Linked DNA regions of Callithrix jacchus. The protein of the gene in region 2 interacts with the protein of the main gene of each other region in a biochemical or structural test. Links are inferred from orthologs where the notes say so. Each region holds a gene or a part of one and is shown on either strand. Other genes may lie near its edges. The genes, in order: IKBKB, MAP3K7, NOD2, USP4, TAB1 and USP29.

Region 1 (4,009 bases), on a different chromosome or scaffold from region 2:
AGTTGCTAGGGTTTGAGTTTCAGCTCCTCTACGTAGCAGCCCTATGATTTTACCATAAAGGGTTTTCCTCTCTGTGCCTCGGTTTTCTCATTGGCAAAATGGAAATAATAATAATGCAGACCAGGCGCGGAGGCTCACGCATGTAATCCCAACACTTTGGGAGGCACGGGTGGGTGGATTCCTTAAGTCCAGGAGTTCGAGACCAGCCTGGGCAACACGATGAGTAAGACCCCACCAGGTATAGGAGCTGTGCACCTGTAGTCCCAGCTACTCAGGAGAATCACTTGAGCCCAGGAGTTGGAGGCTGCAGTGAGCTGTGATGACACCACTGCACTCCAGCCTGGGTGACAGAGCGAGACCCTGTCTCAATAATAATAATAATAATAATAATGATGCAGTATTGTCCAATTTATAGGGTTCCCCTGAGGATTGAATAAGGAAATCTGAGTACAGAGATTAAGAACAGCGCCCCGCACTGTGAAAGCACCCTATAGATGGGAGTTACTATTATCATCTTCAGATTCCTTTGATACTTTTTTCCTGCTTGAATAAAATCCAGTAACACGCACACACACCCCTCCTTTGTCCACTAATGTAATCCCATAAAACGGAGAAACTCAGTAGTGAGGGCATTCTGACTCCAAGCAGGAAAGAGATGAACGATGAACCTCAGGCTGAGCGCCTCGCGGTTTCCCGGCGTCACCGGGACTGAGGCTGCAGTTTGGCCTCACACTGCTGGGTCTCCTTTTCTTAAGGGCTAGACGGGGCTGTCACCTCTCAGGAGTCAGCTGTGATTGATCCTTCTCAGCTACAGGGGAGCGCCCGTAGGAGGGCAGGCGGCAATGGCAATTCTCACAAGCAGTCCCTAAAACATCCCAGCCGGGCGCGGGAAATTCCAACGAGGTGGAAGCCTAGGGGGCAGGGTGAGGAAATCCCCAGGCCGGGCCCAGAAACCGCTCCAGGTGGAAGTCACTTGTCCAAAGAGAACAGGGCGTAACGGGGGTCATTTCAGGGCTGTTCTTTTACATCGGTGAGCACAGTCTCCTTTTCCCTAGGGGTTTCTAGAGGCCACACGCGCCCCCACACCCCGCCCCCGGGGAGTCGCCTGGAGGTCTCGGGGAACGCCCAGCTAGCCCGGGGCGCTCGCAGCATCCGGACCTGGTCCGCCCCGCGCGGCCCCTTTAAGAGCGGCCACGGCCCACGTGCTCCGTGACATCAGAGCAGGAAGTGTTTGAGGAAGTCGAGCCACGCTGCCTGGGTTAAGAGTCTCGCATTTTAATGTTTTTAGGGGGCGTCAGAGCCCCGGGTTTGGCCGCCCCAGCCCCGCCTCCCCAGCCCCGGAGATCCCGCCCCCTGCCCCGCGTCCCCGCCGACAGGTGAGTCCCCCCGGCGGGCGCGGCCCAGGTGCCACCTGCAGGCCCCGCCGCCCTGCCTGGGCGCGCTCCCCACCGCCCCGCTCCCATCAGGCCCGGAAGACCCCTCTGTGCCGCTCGGAAGTCGCAGCTTGCGGACGGGGGAGCGTTTCACTTGTGGGGGATGAAGTTTGGGAAGCCGGGAGAAACAGCTCTGGCAGGGGTGGCTCCTTGGGGGTGGGTGGCTTTGAGAGAAACCCGCGATTTATGGGGATGTTATAAAGACACACGTGACCGAGGGGACGCTCAGAAGTAGGTTCTGTCCCTGCTAGCTCGGGCAGAAGGTGGGCAGGCCCGGGGGCCCCTGGTGGAGTCAGTTAGGGATTCCCTCGCTAGAGCAAGGGCGTGGGCATCGCCTCCCTAGGTGGCTTGCTTTCTTGCTTGCTGCCACAGCAACCGGGATGGGGGAGGGTAAGAGGGACAAAAGTTTGCCACAAAGTTTGGACAAACCAAACACATTGTAAATGGTAAAAAGCCAGTGTATTTTTTTTCTCTTCTATACAAGAGCAGTGATATCTCTTGCCTTCTCCAGCCCTTTGAGCTCCTTTTTTTTTTTTTTTCTTAATCCTAACCTTTTATCCCCCACCCCAAATTGCTTACAGAGTTAGCACGACATCAGTATGAGCTGGTCACCTTCCCTGACAACCCAGACGTGTGGGACCTGGGAAATGAAAGAGCGCCTTGGGACAGGGGGATTTGGAAATGTCATCCGATGGCACAATCAGGTAGGCCCTCCTCTGTGCAGCCTCGGGAGGGGCGGGGAACCAGGCTTCCTCCTCATTGCCTATACCTTCTCTGTTCCTAATGGGACAAGGACTCGCTTTTGGCCTTGGTCATCTTGGGACAGTGAGTAGGGGGACTGGGAAGAGGGCTTCAGAACTTCTGAGCTGACTCTAGGATAGTGGTCTCCAAGTTTTATCGACTATGTCACCTAAATAGCAAAAAAAAAAAAAAAAAAAGTTAAGCTCTTAGTCTGTATTATACATATCTATGGTAACAGTGGAATATCATGTACTAATATATACTGATATTATATGTTATAAAACATACAGAAATAGGAAAATTTAAAGGATGAGAGTAAATAAATAGTTTTAAATATTTTAATGGCTTGAGACCAGGAGTTCAAGACCTCCAGCCTGAGCAACATAGCAAGACCTCATCTCTACGAAGTTTTAAAAATTAGGCAGCCATGGTGCATACCTGTAATCCCAGTTGGAGGCTGATGTGGGAGGATTGTTTGCCCAGGAGTTTGAGCCTGTAGTGACCTATGATTGTGCCACTGCACTCTAGCCTGGGCAACAGAGTGAGACCTTGTCTCAAAACAATTTTTAAAAAATTATTTAAAAGGCTGGGCATGGTGGCACACCCCTGTAATCCCAGCACTTTGGGAGGCTGAGGCTGGTGGATCACTTGAGGTGAGGAGTTCAGACCAGCCTGGCTAACATGGTGAAACTCCATGTTTACTAAAAATACAAAATTAGCTGGGCATGGTGGCATGCACCTGTAATTCTGGCTACTCGAAGGTGGAGTCAGGAGAATCACTTGAAGGAGGCAGAGGTTGCAGTGAGCTGAGATAGTGCCATTGCATTCCAGCCTGGGCGACAGAATGAGACCCTGTCTCAAAAAAAAAATTTTTCTTTGAAATATTTGCTGACTATGATGTCTTCCAGTATTTCTTGCAATACTGCACAGCACAAAATAAGCAGATCCACATGAAAGTGAGAATTTCATTTAGAATGATGATGAAAATCCGTATTTCAAATAATTAAAATTTTTTTTTTAATTTTGTAGAGAGATGGGGGTCTTGCTATGTTACCCAGGTTGGTTTCAAACTCCCATCCTCAAGCAGTCTTCCCGCCTTTTCCTCCCAAAATGTTAGGATTACAGGCCTGAGCCTCACGGCACCTGGCCTTAGCTGAGGTTTTTAAAAATTTTTTGTAGTGATGGGGGTCTAACAATGTTGTCCAGCTAGTCTAGAACTCCTGTCCTCAAGTGATCTTTTTGCCTTGTCCTCTCAAAGTGCCAGGATTATAGGCATGAGTTGTACCTGGCCTGTTTTTAATTTTTAATTGACACATAATTGTACATATTTATGGGGCACAGTACAATGTGATATTTTGATGCATATATAATGTATAATGATCAAGTCGGGGTAATTGGCATATTCATCACTTGAAACATCCTTTCTTTTTGTTGGAAACTGTCAAAATTCTTCTGGGTATTTTGAAATATACAATTATTCTTTTTTGTTTTTTGGAGACAGTTTTGCTCTGTTGCCCAGGCTGGAATTCAGTGGTGCGATCTCGGCTCACTGCAACTTCTGCCTCTTGAGTTAAAGCAATTCTCTGCGTCAGCCTCCTGAGTACCTGGGATTACAGTCCCACACCACCATGCCCAGCTAATTTTTATATTTTAGTAGAGATGGGTTTTCACCATGTTGGCCAGGCTGGTCTCAAACTCCTGACCTCAGGTGATCTGCCCACCTTGGCTGCCCAAAGTGCTGGGATTATAGGCATGAGCCACTGTGCCTGGCCTGAAATATACAATGAATTTTTATTCACTGCAGTCACCCTGTTGTTCTATAGAATACTAGAATT
Region 2 (3,500 bases):
TTAACATTGAACTCATAGCCAACATTGCTATCACTCATGCCTAAATGAAGATAATCTAACACATGTATAGCGTCTGTTAAGACACATCATAGCCTTCTTATACTTAGGCAGTACTACGCTTGAGGGCCATTTTAAATAGCAAAATTACCAACAAAAATCACAAAAATGAAAAAGGTAGGGCTCTAAACAGTACAAAAAGGACAGCTGTTTATAGCATGAGACCTGAAACAAGATGGAAGAGCATTATCTTGTTTAACCTCAGCTAGAAACATGTGTTAGATGACTCAAAATTACACTGTCTGCGAATAATCATGAAAGCACTGTCTGCAAATAACCATGAAAGCACTGTGAGTATTAATTCTGGGGTTACAAATAAAGGTTAGCAAATAGGCAATTTTGCAATTATGAAATTGGTGAATAATGAGGATCAACTGTACATATGCTTGAACCTGCACAGAAGATTTACATCTTACTATAAAATTTAGGACATAACACTATTTAATACCTCCTTAGACTTCATTGTATACTTTAAAATGATGTATTATGCAGAAATAAAACCCAGGAATGGGGAAAATCTATAAACACATATTGAATTCACAAGGAATGAGAGAGATTATCAAACATACCATACTTTTGCCATTTTACCTTCAAAAACTTCAGGTGCCATCCAAGCAGCACTCCCCTTGTTATTGGTCATGTGTGTCTGAATGTCACAGGCTGTACCAAAATCACAAATTTTTAGAACTGTCCCCCCTGCAACCAGCAGTAAGCTGTTTTAAAAAAACAAAAATATCAAAAATTGTTAAGGCCAAACATTAAAAAAAATTCTACAATAAAAGAAGAGACATTTGTGGAAATGGAAAAGATTAAGCAAAATGAATGTTATCATTCAACTTTGTGAAATGATCAACTTACTTGGTCACTATAAAAGCCTAACAGTTTGGAGTAATATAAGCAGAAATTAATTGGCCATAACCTAGCTCTCTTTGGAAGGCTGCCAGACTCACATTTTGATGTCTTCATGTCTAGCTCCATAATCTTTCCTGACCATACTTCTCTCTGGCCAAAATAAAATGTGGGGTTTAAAAGACTTCTAGTAGGTCAACATTATGGTGTCCTGAAATGGGAGTTTAATCATAAATATGTATTACTTAAAAAAATAGTAACACTAGGTAATTTAATTAAAGAAAATAGGCTAATATAGAAGGAAAAAAATGGTCCTTAATTTAAATCTCTATTTTGATACTTCTAAAAATGTTCAATCTCAAAACAATTTTTATGTTTAGAATATGTATGTGTGGGAGGAATAAAAATCTCTTACAGCTAAATAACCTAATGAAAGATTTCTGGAAAATTTTCTGAACTTAAGATTCTGACTTTCCTAGGTGCACTATTAATCAACCACAATCACCAAGTAGCATACACTTACAAGATTTTGCTTTTCATGACAAACAGAAATAGCAATGGCCATTTCTATTCACATAGAACGTGCAAATATAATTTCCACAATCACACTGTAGTAGTATCCAGTAGCAATACATAGGAATTCATTTTAATTCTAAGTTTTAAAAACTTTTTATATCTGAAGAGGTTATTTAGAAATTTCTTCTCTTTTAGTCCAGTGTGACTAAAATAAGTCAGATAAACTACTACTCACAGTTCCATAATACCAAAAAGACTCATAATCATTCCAGTGAAAAGAATGCTAAATCCAGTTTACCTTTGTAGGTAGTTCAACAAAAAAAAATTTTACCCCCATCTCAATGTTTTGTTCAAACTCTTATACTTTTTACCCAAGAAAATGATAAGAACTCTGTAACTGGTTTCCTTGTTTTATACTGGTATATTCAAGATATCAAGGCCGGGTGCGGTGGCTCACGCTTGTAATCCCAGCACTTTGAAAGGCTGAAGTCAGGCGTTCAAGACCAGCCTGACCAACATGGTGAAACCCTGTCTCTAAAAAAAAAAAGAAAAAAAAAAGAAGTCAAGATAATTTCTGATAATTCAAGATAATTTTCCTGAATGATTTTTATGTTAGTACTCCTTTATTTGACTTCAAAAGTTCACCAGCCTTGAACATGAAATTCAGGGCTCACTGAAATCTGAACTTAAAGTATCTTTGTAGGCTTACTTTCACACAGTTAAGACTAAAAACATTAATTTCTAATGTACATGTGAGTAAACTTGTAAAAGATAAAATATGGGCACAAGCACAACTTGATAGTATATAAAACATCTCCCTAGATCATCAGGTACCTTCCTTAGATCCATTCTGAGGAACTCTTCCTGACCACAGAATCTGTAGGTTTTCCACTGACGCTAAGGTTTTCCACTGACAATAAGCAGGTATTCATGTATACCCAATTGTATGCAAAAACATAGTCATTCCAACGAATTTTCTTTTCCTCAGTGCTTTCTGAATTGAAATCAATTCTGATTCTAAAGTCCAACTTGTATACCAGGGGCTTTAAAGACAATTTGCAAGATGAATCTAATAATGGAGAGGCCTGGAATAAATGACCTAGACCAGACCTTCTATAAATATGTTAATTGTATTTACTAGCAAAAGGAGAATCTCTATCTATAAATGATTTTAGAAGGATATATCTGGTTGAACTAGGTTGATTAAACAAACATAAAATTTATGGGGTAGAAGATTGGGGATAGTAGTTAAGCTGTGTAATTAGTGCAATGTAAAAGATGTTAGAAAATGGAAATGACTTCCTTTCGTAAGCTATTTCTCCATATACTGTTTAATAACTAATCATTTATTCCAAAGCCAAAACACCTAGTAATGAGGAGAAAAAAGATACTTTTGGGAGTTGCATCAGATGTGTTCAAGCTCTTTTGGGAAAAGAATGCTTTGGCTGTACCTGATGCTTGCCTATAACCTTTGGATTATTTGGCAGTTTGTTCTGGTTAAGAGCTGTGATTCTCTTGAGTCTCCTTTAATAATTCAACTCTGTTAATACAGTGGGAAATGGACGACTGAATATTCATAACCAGGAAAAAAGGCTAAGTGATTTCTTCATTAGTTACGGCAGGTAACTAAGATAATAGCCTCAGGAAAAGTAAAAGCTTAATCATTATTTTATCAGTGACCTGGGGAAATAGAAATCAGTTTAAGCTTAGGAGTAGAGATAAGATACACTAGCAAGAACAGTGATTTTAAGAGTTGGAACCTATGTAGAGTATATCAGATTAGACCTGAGAGTGACAAGTTATACCCAGAAGGGATGTTTTAATGCTTTAAGCCAGTATCAAGACAATGAAATAACTGAAGACTGTACTGATTTCCTAAGGGAAACCTCTTCTGTAAAGACTAATGTGCTGGGGTGGGAGCTTGGGGGAGAGTAAAGAAGGTATGTGGAGACTATTTTTACTCTGTCACAGGTGCATAAAAGAAAAAAAGAGAGAAAAGTAAACAATGTGTTTTATGTGTATGTTTTCGTTAACCAAATACCTATATATAAAAAAACCCCAAAGTTTTAGTCCTTTAA
Region 3 (4,025 bases), on a different chromosome or scaffold from region 2:
GTGGTGTGTGTGTTGGGAAGCAGTGTGTGCGTGGTGTGTGTGTTGGGAAGCAGTGTGTGTGTGGTGTGTGTTGGGAAGTGGGGTGTGTGTGTGTGTGTGTGTGTTGGAAGCGGTGTGTGTGTATATGTGTGTTGGGAAGCAGTGTGTGTGTGGTGTGTGTTGGGAAGCAGTGTGTGTGTGGTGTGTGTTGGGAAGTGGGGTGTGTGTGTGTGTGTGTGTGTTGGAAGCGGTGTGTGTGTATATGTGTGTTGGGAAGCAGTGTGTGCATGGTGTGTGTGTTGGGAAGCAGTGTGTGCGTGGTGTGTGTGTTGGGAAGCAGTGTGTGTGTGGTGTGTGTTGGGAAGCGGGGTGTGTGTGTGTGTGTGTGTTGGGAAGCGGGGTGTGTGTGTGTGTGTGTTGGAAGCGGTGTGTGTGTATATGTGTGTTGGGAAGCAGTGTGTGTGTGGTGTGTGTTGGGAAGCAGTGTGTGTGTGGTGTGTGTTGGGAAGTGGGGTGTGTGTGTGTGTGTGTGTGTTGGAAGCGGTGTGTGTGTATATGTGTGTTGGGAAGCAGTGTGTGCATGGTGTGTGTGTTGGGAAGCAGTGTGTGCGTGGTGTGTGTGTTGGGAAGCAGTGTGTGTGTGGTGTGTGTTGGGAAGCGGGGTGTGTGTGTGTGTGTGTGTGTTGGGAAGCGGGGTGTGTGTGTGTGTGTGTGTTGGAAGCGGTGTGTGTGTATATGTGTGTTGGGAAGCAGTGTGTGTGTGTGTGTGTGTTGGAAGCAGTGTGTGCGTGGTGTGTGTGTTGGGAAGCAGTGTGTGTGTGGTGTGTGTTGGGAAGCGGGGTGTGTGTGTGTGTGTGTGTTGGGAAGCGGGGTGTGTGTGTGTGTGTGTGTTGGAAGCGGTGTGTGTGTATATGTGTGTTGGGAAGCAGTGTGTGCGTGGTGTGTGTGTTGGGAAGCGGGTTGTTCTGAGGACTGTCCGGTTCCCTCCTGGTTGAAATGAGGCCCAGAAAGGGAGGCCTGCTGACCAGGGCACCCAGCCAGGACCGTCCAGCCCCGCAGACAGGCCCGGCCCCTTTCCTGCGCCCTCCCTCCCTGTCCCCTGTGAGCCTCGCCAGCCCTGGAGTGGGCGCTCTCGGGGCTGCGTGGCCTGGGACTGGAGCGGGTGCGGCCGTCCGGGCAGAGCAGGGGCGGGGTCCAGGCGGGGGTGGAGCCGAACGCCCGCGCAGACGGAGGCGCAGCCCAAGCCGGAGGTGGAGCCCGGAGTCGTGGCCCACAGCAGGCCTGGGAGTCCGGGCGCCGGCGGCTCGCGGTGAGTGCTGTTTCCTGGCGCGAGGCCTGTGCCTAGCGCCTGGGGGTGGGCTGCGGGAAGACTGTGGGTGTCCATGGTGCCGCCCCCAGGACTCGAACACTTGGCGTCCGTCCGAGCAGTCTAGCAGTCTTGGCTGCAGGGCTTGGAGAAGGGTTGCCTCGGTTTCTCCTGGGGGAGTCCCGGGTGTAGATGGGACATGAGAAGGAAAGGGGACATCTCCAGGTTGGGGAGGCTCCTGGCAGGAGTGGAAAGTCCTGAGGAGCCCGGGCTTCAGGTCTCTGAGGGCGCCATTCTTTTGAGTTCTTTCCTCTCTGTGGGACTCAGTTTCCTCATCTTCACCATGCCAGTGAGTGGTGTGAGAGGGTCTGCCCGGAGGATCCTACTGCTGCTGTCTGCACTTCTTAGGGGAATCTCCTGCCTCCTCCTTCTCCCTTGGTGGGTGTGAGATCTAAGTTCAAATCCATCCCTCCCCAGATAGCCCACACCAGGACCTGTGTGGCCACATCCCCCGGCTGTTTGCTCTCTGCTTCTCAAGTTGACGGAGCAGCTGTCTGGTCCTGCTTACATTCCAATGAACTGAAAAGCCCTCCACCCAATAGCCCTGCGGAGGGCCTCCTGAAGCTGCATGAGGGTTGGAGGCTGGACCCCCGCTTCCAAGTTTGCTTTTTCTGAGCCCTTGGGCTTCTTGCCATGGCCTTGGTTTTCCCATGGGCTGTGACTTGGCCTCCTCCAAGGTCCTTGTTCTACAGAGGGGGATCGCCTGCCCTGTCACCCTCCCCAACCCCTTAGTGAAGAAGACCAGAGTGACATCCTCACTGCCTGTACTTGCCTGTCCCAATCACTCAGCCATGGGGTTGCTGCAGCCCTTGAATTTGGCCTCGCAAGGTCCCTCTGCCTCTCTGCACCCTGGGATCAAGGCTGGAAGCATCCTCATCCAGCCCACCTCCCTCCAACCCAGTTCAGAAGCCCTCTGCAACACATGCCTGGTGGTGGGGAGCTTATTACTGATGAGGTGGCTTTTCAGTGTCTTACGGCTCTTGTTTCCTTTACCTAAAATCTGTGGCTTACAGATTTTGCACTTGGTTCCACATCTGTCTCCTGGAGCCATGCAGAGCACATCCATTCTTTCACCCATTCCAGCAGTCATCATTCATGCACTGAATGAGATGTGAGACTGAGCAATGGGGAAATCAGATTAAACTCCCTGCCCTCATGGAGTGCACATTCTGGAAAGGAATGGACAGCAATGAAAGAGGTAAATCTGTGGCATGGCAGGCAGTGGGAAGTGCTACGAGTAAAACAAAGCGGGGAAGCAGGATGGGGTGCTGGGGCTGGGTATTGCATTGTATATAGCACAGTTAGGGAAGGCTTCCCCAAGACCACGACAGCTGGGCAGTCATCAGGAGGCAAGGGCGAGCCTTGTGAGTATCTGTGCGGGCGGGTGGGGGGGCTTTGGCTTTTACTCTGAGCGCGGTGGGAGCCCTGGTTTGGAGCTGAGAAGTCACCTGCTCTGACTTGGGGTCTGGCAGGCCCATCCAGCTGTGGGGTGGAGAATGGATAGTGATGGGTGGACTAAGGGCAAAAGGAGAGCCTGGTGAGAGGATCAGTACATTGTTCCGGGGAGAGACCAAAGTGGCTTACACCATGGCCCACAGGTGGTTAAAAAAAATAGAAAAAAACCCCAGACCTTCAGATTTGGGATATATTTCAAAGGCTATGTCAATAGGATTTGGGGTGCAAGAGAAAGGTAGAATCAAGGATGATTCTGAGTTTTTGGCTCAAGCTTCTGGAGGTTTGAAGCTGCCGTGAACTGCAATGGGAGTTGCGACGGGGGAGATCAGGAGTTTGGTTTTGTGCTTGTCGTGTGAGCTGTCCATTAGGCACCAACGATGATTAAGCAGTTGGGAAAAGTTAAGGGCGGAGGTTGGAGTTGGAAATGAAACTGTGGGCATCGTCACCCTATAGCTGGTATTTAAAGCCGCAAGAGCAGGTGGCTTCATCTAGGAAGGGAGCACTATGGAGAAGAGAAGGGGTCCAGCCATTGAGCGCTGGGGCCCCCGGTGTTAGGAACCAGCCAGGAAGACAGAAAGAGTGAAAATGAGAGAGTTGGGGTGCCCCAAGGGGGAAGGAGGGAGCAATTATGACCAATGCCCCTGGTGGAGCAATTATGACCAATGCCCCTGGCAGAGCAAGCAGGCTGAGGGCTTAGGATTGAGCAATGGGAGGTCACTGGTGACCATGATCAAAACAGTCTGACTGGAGCTGGATGGGGAACTTGGGGGATGAGAAGGGATGGGAGGATTTGGGGACAGCAGTGCAGGCACAGACAAGGGGGCCTGCTATAAAGGAGGCAGAGAAATGGGATTGGAGCCAAATGAAGAAGAGGGGCGTCAAGAGAGGGCCTTACTTTTACAATGGAGGATTAGAGTGCATTGTTCACTGGTGGGGGAACTGGTCTTTTAAGGAGAGAAGCTCAGTGCTGGGGAGGGAGAATGGAGGATGGCTGTGGGAGGGTGTGGGGCTTGGCCCCAGCAGAGTCCCAGAAGGCTTGGGAAGTTGAGCTTCCTTGAGTTTCCCCTCCTTTTCTGTCTGCAAGGGGTCAGTGGGCTGAGATTTCAGCACTTAAGCCAAGCATTTGCTCTTGGCCCCAGAAAAACCAGGCTGGCTAAGGTCTCAGGAAGGAAGGAGGTGTCTGGGCTCAGGCCTGGGCCTGGGGTTTGGGGAGAGCCCATGCGGG
Region 4 (4,060 bases), on a different chromosome or scaffold from region 2:
TCTTGCCTCAGCCTCCCAAGTAGCTGGGATTCCGGGCATGTGCCACCATGCCCAGCTAATTTTTTTGTATTTTTAGTAGAGATGGGGTTTCACCATGTTGGCCAAGCTAGTCTCAAACTCCTGACCTCAGTGATCCTCCTGCCTTGGCATCCCAAAGTGCTGGGATTACAGGCATGAGCCACTGCGCCCAGCCTAAATGGAGTCTTTCTATGGGTAAAATCATGTTTGTTAATAAACAAGTCATTAATTTCATAATCTGTATAGAGGTCCCTGTCCAAGCAGACAGTTTGGTTATACTGTTTTGCTTGACATAAACAACACTAAACAACTAGGCTGGGTGCAGTGGCTCACACCTGTAATCCCAGCACTTTGGGAGGCTGAAGTGGGCAGATCACAAGGTCAAGAGATCAAGACCATCCTGGCCAACATGGTAAAACCCCGTATCTACTAAAAATACAAAAATTTGCCGGGCGTGATAGGGTGCACCTGTAGTCCCAGCCACTCAGGAGGCTAAGGCAAGAGAATCGCTTGAACCAGGGAGGTGGAGGTTGCAGTGAACCAAGATCGCGCCACTGCATTCCAGCCTGGCGACAGAGCGAGACTCTGTCTCAAAAAAAAAAAAAGAAAGAAACACCACCCACGTTAGTCTTCCCTTAAGGGCCAAATGAGATCCAAAAATGTACACACAAGGCCAGGCGTGGTGGCTCACACTTGTAATCCCAGCACTTTGGGAGGCTGAGGAGGGTGAACCACTTGAGCTCAGGAGTTCAAGATCAGCCTGGGCAACATGGCAAAACCCCGTCTCTACTAAAAATACAAAAATTAGCTGGGCATGGTGGCGCATGCCTGTAGTCCCAGCTGCTTAGGAGGCTGAGGCACAAGAATCACTTGAACCTGGAAGACAGAAGCTGCAGTGAGCTGAGATCACACCACTGCACTCCAGTAATAAAACACTGTCTCAAAAAAAAAAGTATGTAACGTGTGTACATATATATACACATACACATGTACATATAATAGTGCTTAGGCATGTTCATCTTGTCAAAAGCATTAAGTTGTGCTTCATATTCAACTTACCACTTTTGTACTTAAATGTAAGCAAATCTGGTATTTTATCTATCTATCTATCTATCTATCTACCTAACTATCTATCTATCTATCTATTTATTTCCTTAGAGAGAGGGTCACCCAGGCTAGCGTGCAGTGGCATAATCATAGCTCTCCGTAGCTTCAAACTCCTGGGCTCAAGTGATCCTCCTGCCTTAGCCTCTGAGTAGCTGTGACTACAGGCACATACCACCACACCCAGCTAATTTATTTTTTATTTTTATTTTGTAGAGACTAGGTCTTGCTATGTTGCCCAGGCTGGTCTTGAACTCCTGGCCTCAAGTGATCCTCCCACCTCAGCCTCCCAAAGTACTGGGATTACAGGCATGAGCCACTGCACAAGACTTGTTTATATGTTTAAAGTATCGTTATGCGGTTTTACAATTAAAACAGAAAGAGGGAAAAATCTCTGTGGGGCAACAAAGCATCAACAATTATATTGGTGCAACCTTCAAATTTTATAACAAACATGTGAAGTCAGGCAGCTTCCCAGAGGTCACAAGGATCCATAAATACATCCAACTCTAAAATGCTATTTTTCTTCCAAATCGCTTGAGCAATATCTTCCACACAATTTTACTGTGTGATTTTAGTGTATCTTAAACGTCCTGTTTCTGCTGAGGAGCCCTATAGAGGTTAACTTAAAAAGTACCTTTACCAGCCCTATAGAGGTTAATTTAAAAAGTACCTCTGATTGCTCTGCCTTTCACAAACTGGCTAGCTCAAGGTGAATACATAAGCTGTATCTGTACTCCTCCTAAACCCAATTTTTCTATTCTCCCGCTCAATTCCTCTGCAGATGGTTTCTTAAAGATAGGTAACAATCATACTCATTGCAAAGTCTAGCCCTAGTTTTCTACTCCCACGCAATAATATCACCCAGGAATCTCTCCAGTAGTATAAAGTATTGTCCCCTCTACCAAACAATCTATTAAGACTGCTCACAACTCAGCCTTGGTTTTCTAAATTCTAGACTCTTATCTTCTGTCTAGCTCCAGGACCTAGGCTATCCTCCTCTCCCACTCCGAGATACTGCTGCCACAAATGTTTCTGACATTTGCTACCAAAATAAGCTGGGGTTCTCAGACACTTGTTCAGCTTCTGACCTTGACATCTGTTGGCAGTTTACAAGTTACAAAGTATCTACTTCTGATAGTCGTCTCAACCCACTGAGGGCAGTGAGCCAAATATTGTTATCCTGGTTCTAACAGGGAGGAATAAGGTCTGTGACACCTTCGCACAAGGTCACACGGCGAGTCCTCGATGGTAAAGGGCTCTTCCCACTCTCAGGGGCCCGCCAACACTCCCCTTCTCCAGATCCTTCCCCTTGGCCCCGCCAGGCCTGCCCCCTGGGGCTCCCAAAGAGCAGACAAGACCCCGAGCTCTCGCCTGCGCTCTCGCAGAGCTGATCCTGGAGTTCTCCTGAGGGGCGGGTGTCAGGCTACTCTTTCAGGGCCACTAAACACCATCCCCGCCCGATCCCTACTCTAGCCGAGAAAAGGGGGGCTGGCCTAAGGGCCTGACACTCAGCCCCTAGCTCCGCACAGGTGAGCCGGTGCTCACCACTGCGCCCCGCGTTGGAGTGTGGTCCTCATTAAGGCTCCAAGCTCGGACTTTTGAGTCTCCGCATCCGGTCGCTCACCACATCCTCCACCTTCCGCCATCTCGTCCGCGGCCCCGGCCCAGCCGGCCCGGACATCCGTCCCACGCCGGGCGTGCTATAGACCGCGCCCACGCACGCACGTACGCACGCACGCACGCCCGTGCCTCACGTCGCGCCCAGGCCTGCGGTTCCTGCGGCTGTTGTCTTTTTTTCCCTCCTCCCCTCTCACGCCGTCTTCCTCTGCTGCTAACAGTGGCGCGGAAAGGCAGACGGGAGAGGGGCAGGCGGGGAGCAGCAGCCTTTACTTCCTCCCGCACTGCTGGCCGCGTCTTGGCCGCCCGCTGTGCAGCCGTGGGGCTTCCCTTCCTCCGCTCAGGACGGCGTTACACTCCCAAGCTCTGTCCAGCCCGCCGATCTCAGGGAGTCAGACAGCAAGCCCACGACCAGTCCGGCACCTCAGCCCGGCCTTCGAGGTTATCCTGGTCCTAAATAAACGCACGCCAGGTGCGAGAAGCCCCGTTGCTAGGTCTGCTCATTCTCACCCCTGCCATTCCGTTTTCAGCTGGAGACCTTAGCCGAGTCAGCTACCCAAACATGGGATCGGAGCTCTACCCAGCGGCCCTACAGTGATTTCGGGAAGTGCCCTGTGCACAGCGCCTTGGGACCAAGACGCAACGGTGTTCTGTAGTGATTAACAGTCGCCTTAAACAATCTAGACGCCAGAGCCACCTCGCCCACCACAGAATTCCGTCAGCTCTTCATACAGAGCTACTTGCCAAGCAGCCGCAGAGGGGCGATAGCAAGGAGGGAAGGAGAGATACTCCATATTGGGTACTCAAGCATCTTAGTTCCTTGAACAAGATAGATAAAACCTGTCCTGAACACTGTTTGCCAGGGGACCCGCTCACACAAACACACAGCCCTCCTCCTGGAGGGAGAAATAAATCCAGAGGAAAGAGGAAGTCAGACAGTTGGCCTAGATGAGTCTCCATTCACTCTCTTAACAGTTCTTGCCCTCAGAGAAAAGTAAGATCTGGTTCCTGTCCTCATACAACCTAGTAGAGAAGAGATGTTTCGGAAATAACCTCAGTGCCTAGCAGTATGTGGTAAGTGCCATTAAAGGGGGAGAACCAGGCCGGGTGCAGTGGTTCAAGCCTGTAATCCCAGCACTTTGGGAGGCTGAGGCGGGAGAAATGCTTGAGCCCAGGAATTCGAAACCAACCTCGGCAACATGGCGAAATCCCGTCTCTACAAAAAATACAAAAATTAGCCGGGCAGTGGCGTGCATCTGTGGTCCCAGCTACTCCGGAGGGTGAGGTGGGAGGATCGCTTGAGCCCTTGTGGTTGAGG
Region 5 (3,500 bases), on a different chromosome or scaffold from region 2:
CCCTCCTCAGCTTCCCAAAGTGCCGGGGTTGCAGGTGTGAGCCACTGCACCCAGCCAATACAAATTTTATCTTCCTTGAAATTGCTGTGGTTCTCCCAGTTATTCCAGTTTGCTCTAGTTCCGCATGATGGTCTTGGGAGTGCCCTTGTAAACAGGGCACACTTCTCAGGTGGGAGGCCAGATCTAGGGCAAGAAATGGCACCTGGGCCTTGCATCAAAGTTGTTCCTGGGCCTTAAAAAAATACAGATGCTCAGGGTGTACCGTAGGGAGATTGGGAAATTCAGCATTTGTGTTTGGGCCGGGGTCGGGGCCTGGACCCTGTGAGTGTGTTTAAAGCTGTGCATTGATTATGCTGAACAGCCTGGTTTGAGATCCTCTACGGTGGAGTGGGTGTTGCAAACAGACTAGGGTGCTGTAATCAGGGTACAGTCGGGGTACATGAGAGGGCCATCAGCCAGTCCTGGGGAGGGTCATCCTGAAGGAAGACCACCTGGAGGTGGTGACTCCTGAGCCAGAGAGTCCCGAAGGACCTGGAGAATTGTGAGGCAAGGAGGAGGGTGTTCACGTGGAGGCAAAGAGCAGGGGATGGACAGGCCTGCAGGCATTTGGGACTGGGGGAGAAGGATGTGGCAGGGGAGATGGGAGGGGATGTCGGGGTGGCCTGAGGATGTCTTACAAACTAGCTCATAAACTCCGACTTATAAGCCAGTCTCAGTCACTCTCCCTGGCACTTGGAGGCCCCAGTGTCAGAGAGAGTGACAAGTCAGAGTTTCTCTAGGGTGAGTCTTAGGTCACCTGAAAGCATCACTCGTGGGGAGCGGCCTGTACTTCAGATGTCCTGGGTCCTGCCCAGATCAGTCATTCTGAGGGTGGGGCCTGCAGCCTGCAGTTTCAACCAGTGCCCAAGGGATTCCTTTGCAGTGTGCATTTGGAGCCAGTGCAGTAAGAGGTGCAGGCCCCAAAGAGTTTCCTGTCAAGAGTTTGAGACCTTTGTATGTGTTTCACTAGGTTTCATAACAGCTCACTCCTGGAGGCCATTGCTGCACCTTGCCTTTGGAATGCTGGAGTCTTTCCGTTTTCCTGGGGAACTAGTTTGTAGACTAGCCATAAAAACAGCAAACCCTTCTGCAGGTGTCTGTTCATACAAACATCTTTGTTTTCCCAAGGGAAGTGGAACCCTCTGTGTAGGGCTGCCGGCCTGCTAGGTTTTTGTTGCAGAAGAAAAAGATGAAGTGGGATCTACGCTGCAGAAGCAGTGGTGCCTCACGGCTTCCTGGTGTCCTTCCCCAGGAGCAGCAGCCAAGCTGGACAGACGACCTTCCGCTCTGCCACCTCTCTGGGGTTGGCTCAGCCTCCAACCGAAGCTACTCTGCTGATGGCAAGGGCACTGAGAGCCACCCGCCAGAGGACAGCTGGCTCAAGTTCAGGTGTGTGTGCCAGCATTTTGGTCCTGGACCCAGGGAGTTGGTGAGTTTGCAAGGAAAGACATTGACTTTGCAGCTTTCTCATATGAGCTTGCCAGTGAGATGTGGCCTGTGGGAGGTGGCCTCTGCTGCTGCCCTTTATACTGCTGGACTTTAGACCAGCCAAGGGTTTCCTCTGATGGGGTAGTGTGAGCATGGGGAGGAGGGTATCCCAGAAGGTCATAGCCACCAGAGTGAAATGATGCCCAAAGCAGGGGGACCCAGGTCGGTGCCTGAAGCTGCAGCCGCTGTAGCTTTAGCCTCCCCCAATTCCTTTCCCTTTCTCCTTCCACCTCCGTGTGAGACCCTGGTCTTAGTCCTCCCTCTGCCCTCTCCCACTGCCAGGAGTGAGAACAACTGCTTCCTGTATGGGGTCTTCAACGGCTACGATGGCAACCGGGTGACCAACTTCGTGGCCCAGCGGCTGTCCGCGGAGCTCCTCCTGGGCCAGCTGAATGTTGAGCATGCTGAGGCCGACGTGCGGCGCGTGCTGCTGCAGGTAATGGTGCTGGGGCTGGCAGTAACCTGGCTCCATCGTGTCCCCCACCCCCAGGGCCTGGGCCCTGCACGTCTAGCACGTTGCCAGGGTTGGTGTAAAGATCCTGCCGGCCCCTTCACCGTGATAGAGAAGCAGCTCCCGGCATAGGGGCCCCTTCTCTAGGAGTCCAGGACCAGCCAGCAAGCAGCAGGCCTTCAGTGGCTAGCAGAGCTGACAGGGGAGGTACTGCTGGAGACGGGGGGATTTAGGGATGTGAGCATGGAGAGAGGTGTCAAGTAGGAGCAGGGCAAGGCCTGGTCGGAATGGGGTCATTCGGAGCTACCCATTTCTTTCTCATGTAGCCAGGTGCTCAGCCTCCAGGTGCAGGAAGCATATCTGGGCATTCAGGGAAGACCTTGCCTCCCCTTTTTGATGGGGTGCTGCCATCATTCGCTGGTTCCACCTTTCTGCTTGCACTGTTGGGAATTTTCCTCCTGGCATCTCCTTTCAGGAGCATGTCTCAGGCCCATTTTAGATGAGAAGATGGGCTTCTGTTCCCAGAGAACAGTGGTGCCAGCCTTTTCCTCCCCTTCATGGCCTCAGGCTCCATGGCCAGTGATTGTCAGCAGATCTCACACCCAGGGGGAGTTGTCAGTGTCACCAGTGTCCCAGGGCCAGCAGAGTTTGACAGAAGCCTCCCAGGAAGAAGTCGTAGTAATCATGGGAGCTGTCATAGTCCTGGCAGTTTCTCTGAGCAGGTGCCATGCTGAGTGCCAGGCTGGACTTACCCTCGGAACAACACTTAACCTCTGTTGTGTGAGACTGAGGTGTCCAGAGGTCACACCAGCTGGGCCTACTCCAAGCCTTTGCTCTTAGCCTCCGCACTGTCTGCTGCCTCCAAGCCCTCTGAGTGCCGCCTCTGTTGGCTACGCACCCCTATGGGGCTGAAGGGCTTTGTCAAAGACACGGATCTGCAAGAAGCAGCCAGTGCCTTGCAGTGCCGGGCTGGAGGCAAAACCGACATGCGGAAAGCCCCATCACAGGAGGACCTGCAGTGAATACAGTGAAGCTGTTGCTGTTCTTCATAGGGGGCATTTTAGCACCAGTGACAGTGGTGTTTTGAACCAGTCTTTGCCCTGTCCTGTGTCCCTCCAGGCCTTCGATGTGGTAGAGAGGAGCTTCCTGGAGTCCATTGACGATGCCTTGGCTGAGAAGGCAAGCCTCCAGTCGCAACTGCCAGAGGTAATTTCCCCAGCCCACACCCAGGGGAGTCAAGTCCAGGCCCAGCTTTGCAAGAAGCATGGACTTAGCTACTTTGTCTTGACATTACTGGGCCAGAGCAGCAGGAGTTAGGGAGCAGTTTCTCATGGGGAACACTGGTGGGTGGCCACAGGTGAGGGACCTTACCACCCTGCTATGGGCAGCTGCACACTAAAGCTCAGCATTGGCTGGGCAGTGGTGGGCATGAGGAAAGCTTTTCGCAGTCCTTTGACCTGAATGGGTCCCCACCCTTGTCACCCACCTGCTCACATCGCCCGCCCACTGGCATCTGTAGCGC
Region 6 (3,721 bases), on a different chromosome or scaffold from region 2:
AAACTCACAAGAATTTTTCAGCTGAGTAATAACATTAGAAGTGTGGTCCTCATCCGTCGTAAAAAAAGGAAAAGTCACCTGCGTTTAACTCTGAAAAACAACGTGTTCCTGTTTATTGACAAATTATCCTACAAAGACGCTAAACAGTTGAATACGTTCCTGGACATAATCCATCAAAACAAATTTCAACAACCCACGAAACCTGACGACGACTGGAGCGTGTTGGAAAGTAGGGACGTGCCGAAGGAGATTGACAGAACTTCATTTTACATTTGTTACAAGCCAGGTTATGGAAAAGGAGGCAAGACACCTTTCCCTCAGAAGATGCCTTTGTTTATGTCAAAATCACCAGCATGTGTGAAAAAGGGATTAGTAGAAAGTCAAGGTGGGAAGAGGAAAGACACACTGTCATCTGACCTAGACATGAACGAGCACATTCTGAAGGAACATAACCTTGGATCAAATGAGAAATATAAGACAGATCCCTTGAAGTATACACAAAGCTATGGGAATGATCCATCGAGTTTAGAGGACTCGGAAAAAGGGAGAAGTTTGGAACCTGGGCCTCCATTCAACTCCAGTGGAAATCCTGACCTAGATGAGACTCTTCTTGCAATCCAGACTCTCGAGGCTGAACATGGTTTGACATTTCCATTAGAACCCGAGCACAGCCGGGATGACCCAAGATGCCACGAAGCCCAGGTGCCTCCTGACCCTCTCTCAGAGCAACCGCAGCAAGGCTTCCCCAACCTGGGAAACACCTGTTACATGAACGCAATTTTACAGTCGCTGTTTGCGATTCCGTCTTTCGCTGATGACTTACTCACTCAAGATGTCCCGTGGGAATATATTCCCTTTGAGGCTCTTCTTATGACCTTGACCCAGCTGCTTGCTTTGAAAGATTTCTGCAGTACGGAGATCAAGAAAGAATTACTTGGGAACGTGAAAAAAGTCATTTCGGCCGTCGCAGAAATATTTTCTGGCGACCTGCAGAATGACGCTCATGAGTTCTTAGGTCAATGTTTAGACCAGCTGAAAGAGGACATGGAGAACTTAAACGCCATTCTGAAGACCGGGAGAGGCCGTGGGGACGGAAACTCCTCTCCGCAACTGCATGTTGCTCACGCTGCCACCAGAGTCTTTGTTTGTCCCGTTGTTGCTAATTTTGAGTTTGAATTGCAACTCTCCATTATCTGCAAAGCCTGTGGTCATGCTGTTCTCAAGGTAGAACCTAATAATTACCTCTCCATCAACCTGCACCAAGAGACAAAAGCGCTTCCTACGTCCATTCAGGATTCTTTAGATCTTTTCTTCAGAGAAGAAGAGCTTGAATATAACTGTGAGATGTGTAAGCGCAAGAGTTGTGTTGCGATGCACACGCTCAGCCGGCTCTCCAGGGTCCTCATCGTTCATCTGAAGCGCTACAGCTTCAACGACGCTTGGTTGCTGGCGAAGAATAATGAGCAAGTTTATATCCCCAAATATTTAAGCTTATCTTCTTACTGCTACGAGGGCACCAAACAACCTCTTCCCTTGAGCAGTAACGCACCTTTGGGGAAAGGCGAAGTCCTGGACGTCTCTCGGGAGATGGTCTCTGAGAGCACCAGCCCATTAACAGCATCAATGAAGCTCACCTCGGAATCCAGTGACTCCCTGGTTCTACCCATGGAACCAGACAAGAATTCTGACCTTCAAAGATTCCAGAGAGGCTGTGGGGAAGCCAGCCAAGAGCACCGTCAGAGAGACCTGGAAAATGGCTCCACGCTAGAGTCAAAATTGGTCAACTTTGGAGATACGGCATCCGGTGAAAAGAAGTGTCCAGTGGCTGACTCACTGATGGATCAGGGAGACCTTTCTCTTCCTGTGATCTGTGAAGATGGCGGTGAGCCAATCAGCAGCCCGGACACAAGGCTTCTCGACTTCCACCTTCAAGAGATGCCTCAACATCCAGACCTTGAGAAGTGTGAGAACACCAACACATTTGTAGAGTTACATTTTGACAGCGTCACTGAGTCTACCGATAGCTCTTATGAGTGTAAGGAAAACAGGATTCCAGAAGGATCTCCAAGGATGTCTGAACAGCTCCAGCAGTGTATCGAGAAGAGCATCATAGAGGAACTTCTTCAGCAGGCACCACCTCCAGGTGTTCGGAAGCCAGATGCCCAGGAACATACAGAGGAGACCCTCAGTCTACCTACAGAAGCCAGACTTCAGAAGGCTGACCTGAATCACCTGGGGGCATTTGGTTCTGATAACCCAGGAGACAAAGACATTTTAGATACAGAGAACGCAAGAGACAAAGTCCAGGAACTGACGAGGAACACGAAGGTGGGGGATCCCCTCCAGGCCTACAGACTCATCAGTGTTGTCAGCCATATTGGGAGCTCCCCAAATTCAGGCCATTACATCAGCGATGCATATGACTTTCAGAAGCAGGCCTGGTTCACGTACAATGATCTGTGTGTATCAGAAATCTCAGAGACCGAAATGCAGGAGGCGAGGCTCCACTCTGGATATATCTTCTTTTACATGCACAGTGGGATTTTTGAGGAGCTGCTAAGAAAGGCAGAGAACTCTCGGCTGCTTAGCGCGCAGGCAGAGGTGATTCCTCAGGGGCAGTAAGATGACTCTTTATACAGACCTGCTTAACGACTCACTGGGTCTCACTTCCTCCACGCAAGGAGAATCCAGAATGAAGGAACAAGTATCTCAGGGTGAAAGCTCAATGAAAAACACTTATTTTGGGGGAATTTATCTAGATCCCAGAACTCAGGCCCATATGCATATGTTCCCTACAAGATTAGAATGATGCTTTTCATGTTTTGACATGATCGTTCTCTTTTTTTTAAAAAAAAAAAAAAAAGACAGGGTTTCACCATGTTGGTCAGGCTGGTCTTGAACTCCCGACCTCAGGTGATTCGCCCACCTTGGCCTCCAAAGTGCTTGGATTACAGGCGTGAGCCACCACGCCTGGCCGACACGATGGCTTTCAAAATGTTCTTCAACCAGCAACAGCAGCAGCTAGGGACCGATTAGAAATGCAGATTCTTGGGTCCCCTCCAGACCCACTGGCGCAGAAACAGGAGGTGTGGCTTAGCAATCTGATGGAGACTCAAGGGCTCCTGAAAGTTTGAAGAACACTGTTAACGCGTGGAGGGTCTTGGTGTATTTTTATCCTGTTGATATGAATTGTTTATGTCATATAAATGATTTTCACTGAATGCTTTGCCTTTCTTTATTTCGTCCCGCTGAACCTAGAGAAATTCCAGCAGAGAAATTCCAACAAATGCAGGCCCAAAGCCCTTCTGAGAGCGGGCCGGTTGGGATTCCAAAGAAAGAAGCACTAAACACTGGGGGGACCTGTCCAGAGCATTTATGAGGAGGAACTTAGTGCTGCAGTGTATCTTCAGGGGGATGGTGAGACAAAAAAGCATCGTCTACCTGCTGGGCATCGGCTCACACCTGTAATCCCAGCGTTTTGGGAGGCCAGGATGGGAGGACTGCCTGAACAGAGGAGTTCAAAACCAGCCTGGCAATATAGCAAGACCCTGTCTCCACCAAAATAACTTAGCCAGGCACGTCTCAGCTACTCAGGAAGCTGAGGTGGGAGGACCACTTGAGCCTGGAGTTCAAGGCTGCAGTGAGCTATGATTGCACTACTGCACTCCAGCCTGGGTGACAAAGACCCTGTTTAAAAAAAAAAAAAAAAGGAAGGGAGGAT

What was found.
Region 1: of the proteins of MAP3K7 (region 2) and IKBKB, one has a biochemical effect on the other in vitro, tested with the Homo sapiens proteins (5 studies listed by BioGRID). The link is inferred for Callithrix jacchus from reciprocal best matches to the Homo sapiens genes MAP3K7 and IKBKB.
Region 3: the proteins of MAP3K7 (region 2) and NOD2 form a complex in vitro, tested with the Homo sapiens proteins (2 studies listed by BioGRID). The link is inferred for Callithrix jacchus from reciprocal best matches to the Homo sapiens genes MAP3K7 and NOD2.
Region 4: of the proteins of MAP3K7 (region 2) and USP4, one has a biochemical effect on the other in vitro, tested with the Homo sapiens proteins (2 studies listed by BioGRID). The link is inferred for Callithrix jacchus from reciprocal best matches to the Homo sapiens genes MAP3K7 and USP4.
Region 5: of the proteins of MAP3K7 (region 2) and TAB1, one has a biochemical effect on the other in vitro, tested with the Homo sapiens proteins (4 studies listed by BioGRID and IntAct). The link is inferred for Callithrix jacchus from reciprocal best matches to the Homo sapiens genes MAP3K7 and TAB1.
Region 6: the proteins of MAP3K7 (region 2) and USP29 form a complex in vitro, tested with the Homo sapiens proteins (2 studies listed by BioGRID). The link is inferred for Callithrix jacchus from reciprocal best matches to the Homo sapiens genes MAP3K7 and USP29.

The regions. Positions count from the first base shown.
Region 1 is NC_133514.1:44,139,496-44,143,504, reverse strand, and holds the start of IKBKB (inhibitor of nuclear factor kappa-B kinase subunit beta), read left to right. Parts: upstream 1-1,209; 5' UTR 1,210-1,376; intron 1,377-1,470; exon of another isoform or gene 1,471-1,664; intron 1,665-2,014; 5' UTR 2,015-2,032; coding exon 2,033-2,137; intron 2,138-4,009.
Region 2 is NC_133505.1:96,646,175-96,649,674, forward strand, and holds part of MAP3K7 (mitogen-activated protein kinase kinase kinase 7), read right to left. Parts: intron 771-3,500; coding exon 646-770; intron 1-645. UniProt on the Homo sapiens protein: Serine/threonine kinase which acts as an essential component of the MAP kinase signal transduction pathway. Plays an important role in the cascades of cellular responses evoked by changes in the environment.
Region 3 is NC_133521.1:8,618,532-8,622,556, forward strand, and holds the start of NOD2 (nucleotide-binding oligomerization domain-containing protein 2), read left to right. Parts: upstream 1-1,225; 5' UTR 1,226-1,288; intron 1,289-4,025. UniProt on the Homo sapiens protein: Pattern recognition receptor (PRR) that detects bacterial peptidoglycan fragments and other danger signals and plays an important role in gastrointestinal immunity.
Region 4 is NC_133516.1:31,939,775-31,943,834, forward strand, and holds the start of USP4 (ubiquitin carboxyl-terminal hydrolase 4), read right to left. Parts: upstream 2,801-4,060; 5' UTR 2,772-2,800; coding exon 2,671-2,771; intron 1-2,670.
Region 5 is NC_133502.1:210,212,656-210,216,155, forward strand, and holds part of TAB1 (TGF-beta-activated kinase 1 and MAP3K7-binding protein 1), read left to right. Parts: intron 1-1,291; coding exon 1,292-1,428; intron 1,429-1,809; coding exon 1,810-1,963; intron 1,964-3,097; coding exon 3,098-3,184; intron 3,185-3,500. UniProt on the Homo sapiens protein: Key adapter protein that plays an essential role in JNK and NF-kappa-B activation and proinflammatory cytokines production in response to stimulation with TLRs and cytokines.
Region 6 is NC_133523.1:49,865,579-49,869,299, forward strand, and holds the end of USP29 (ubiquitin carboxyl-terminal hydrolase 29), read left to right. Parts: coding exon 1-2,622; 3' UTR 2,623-3,221; downstream 3,222-3,721.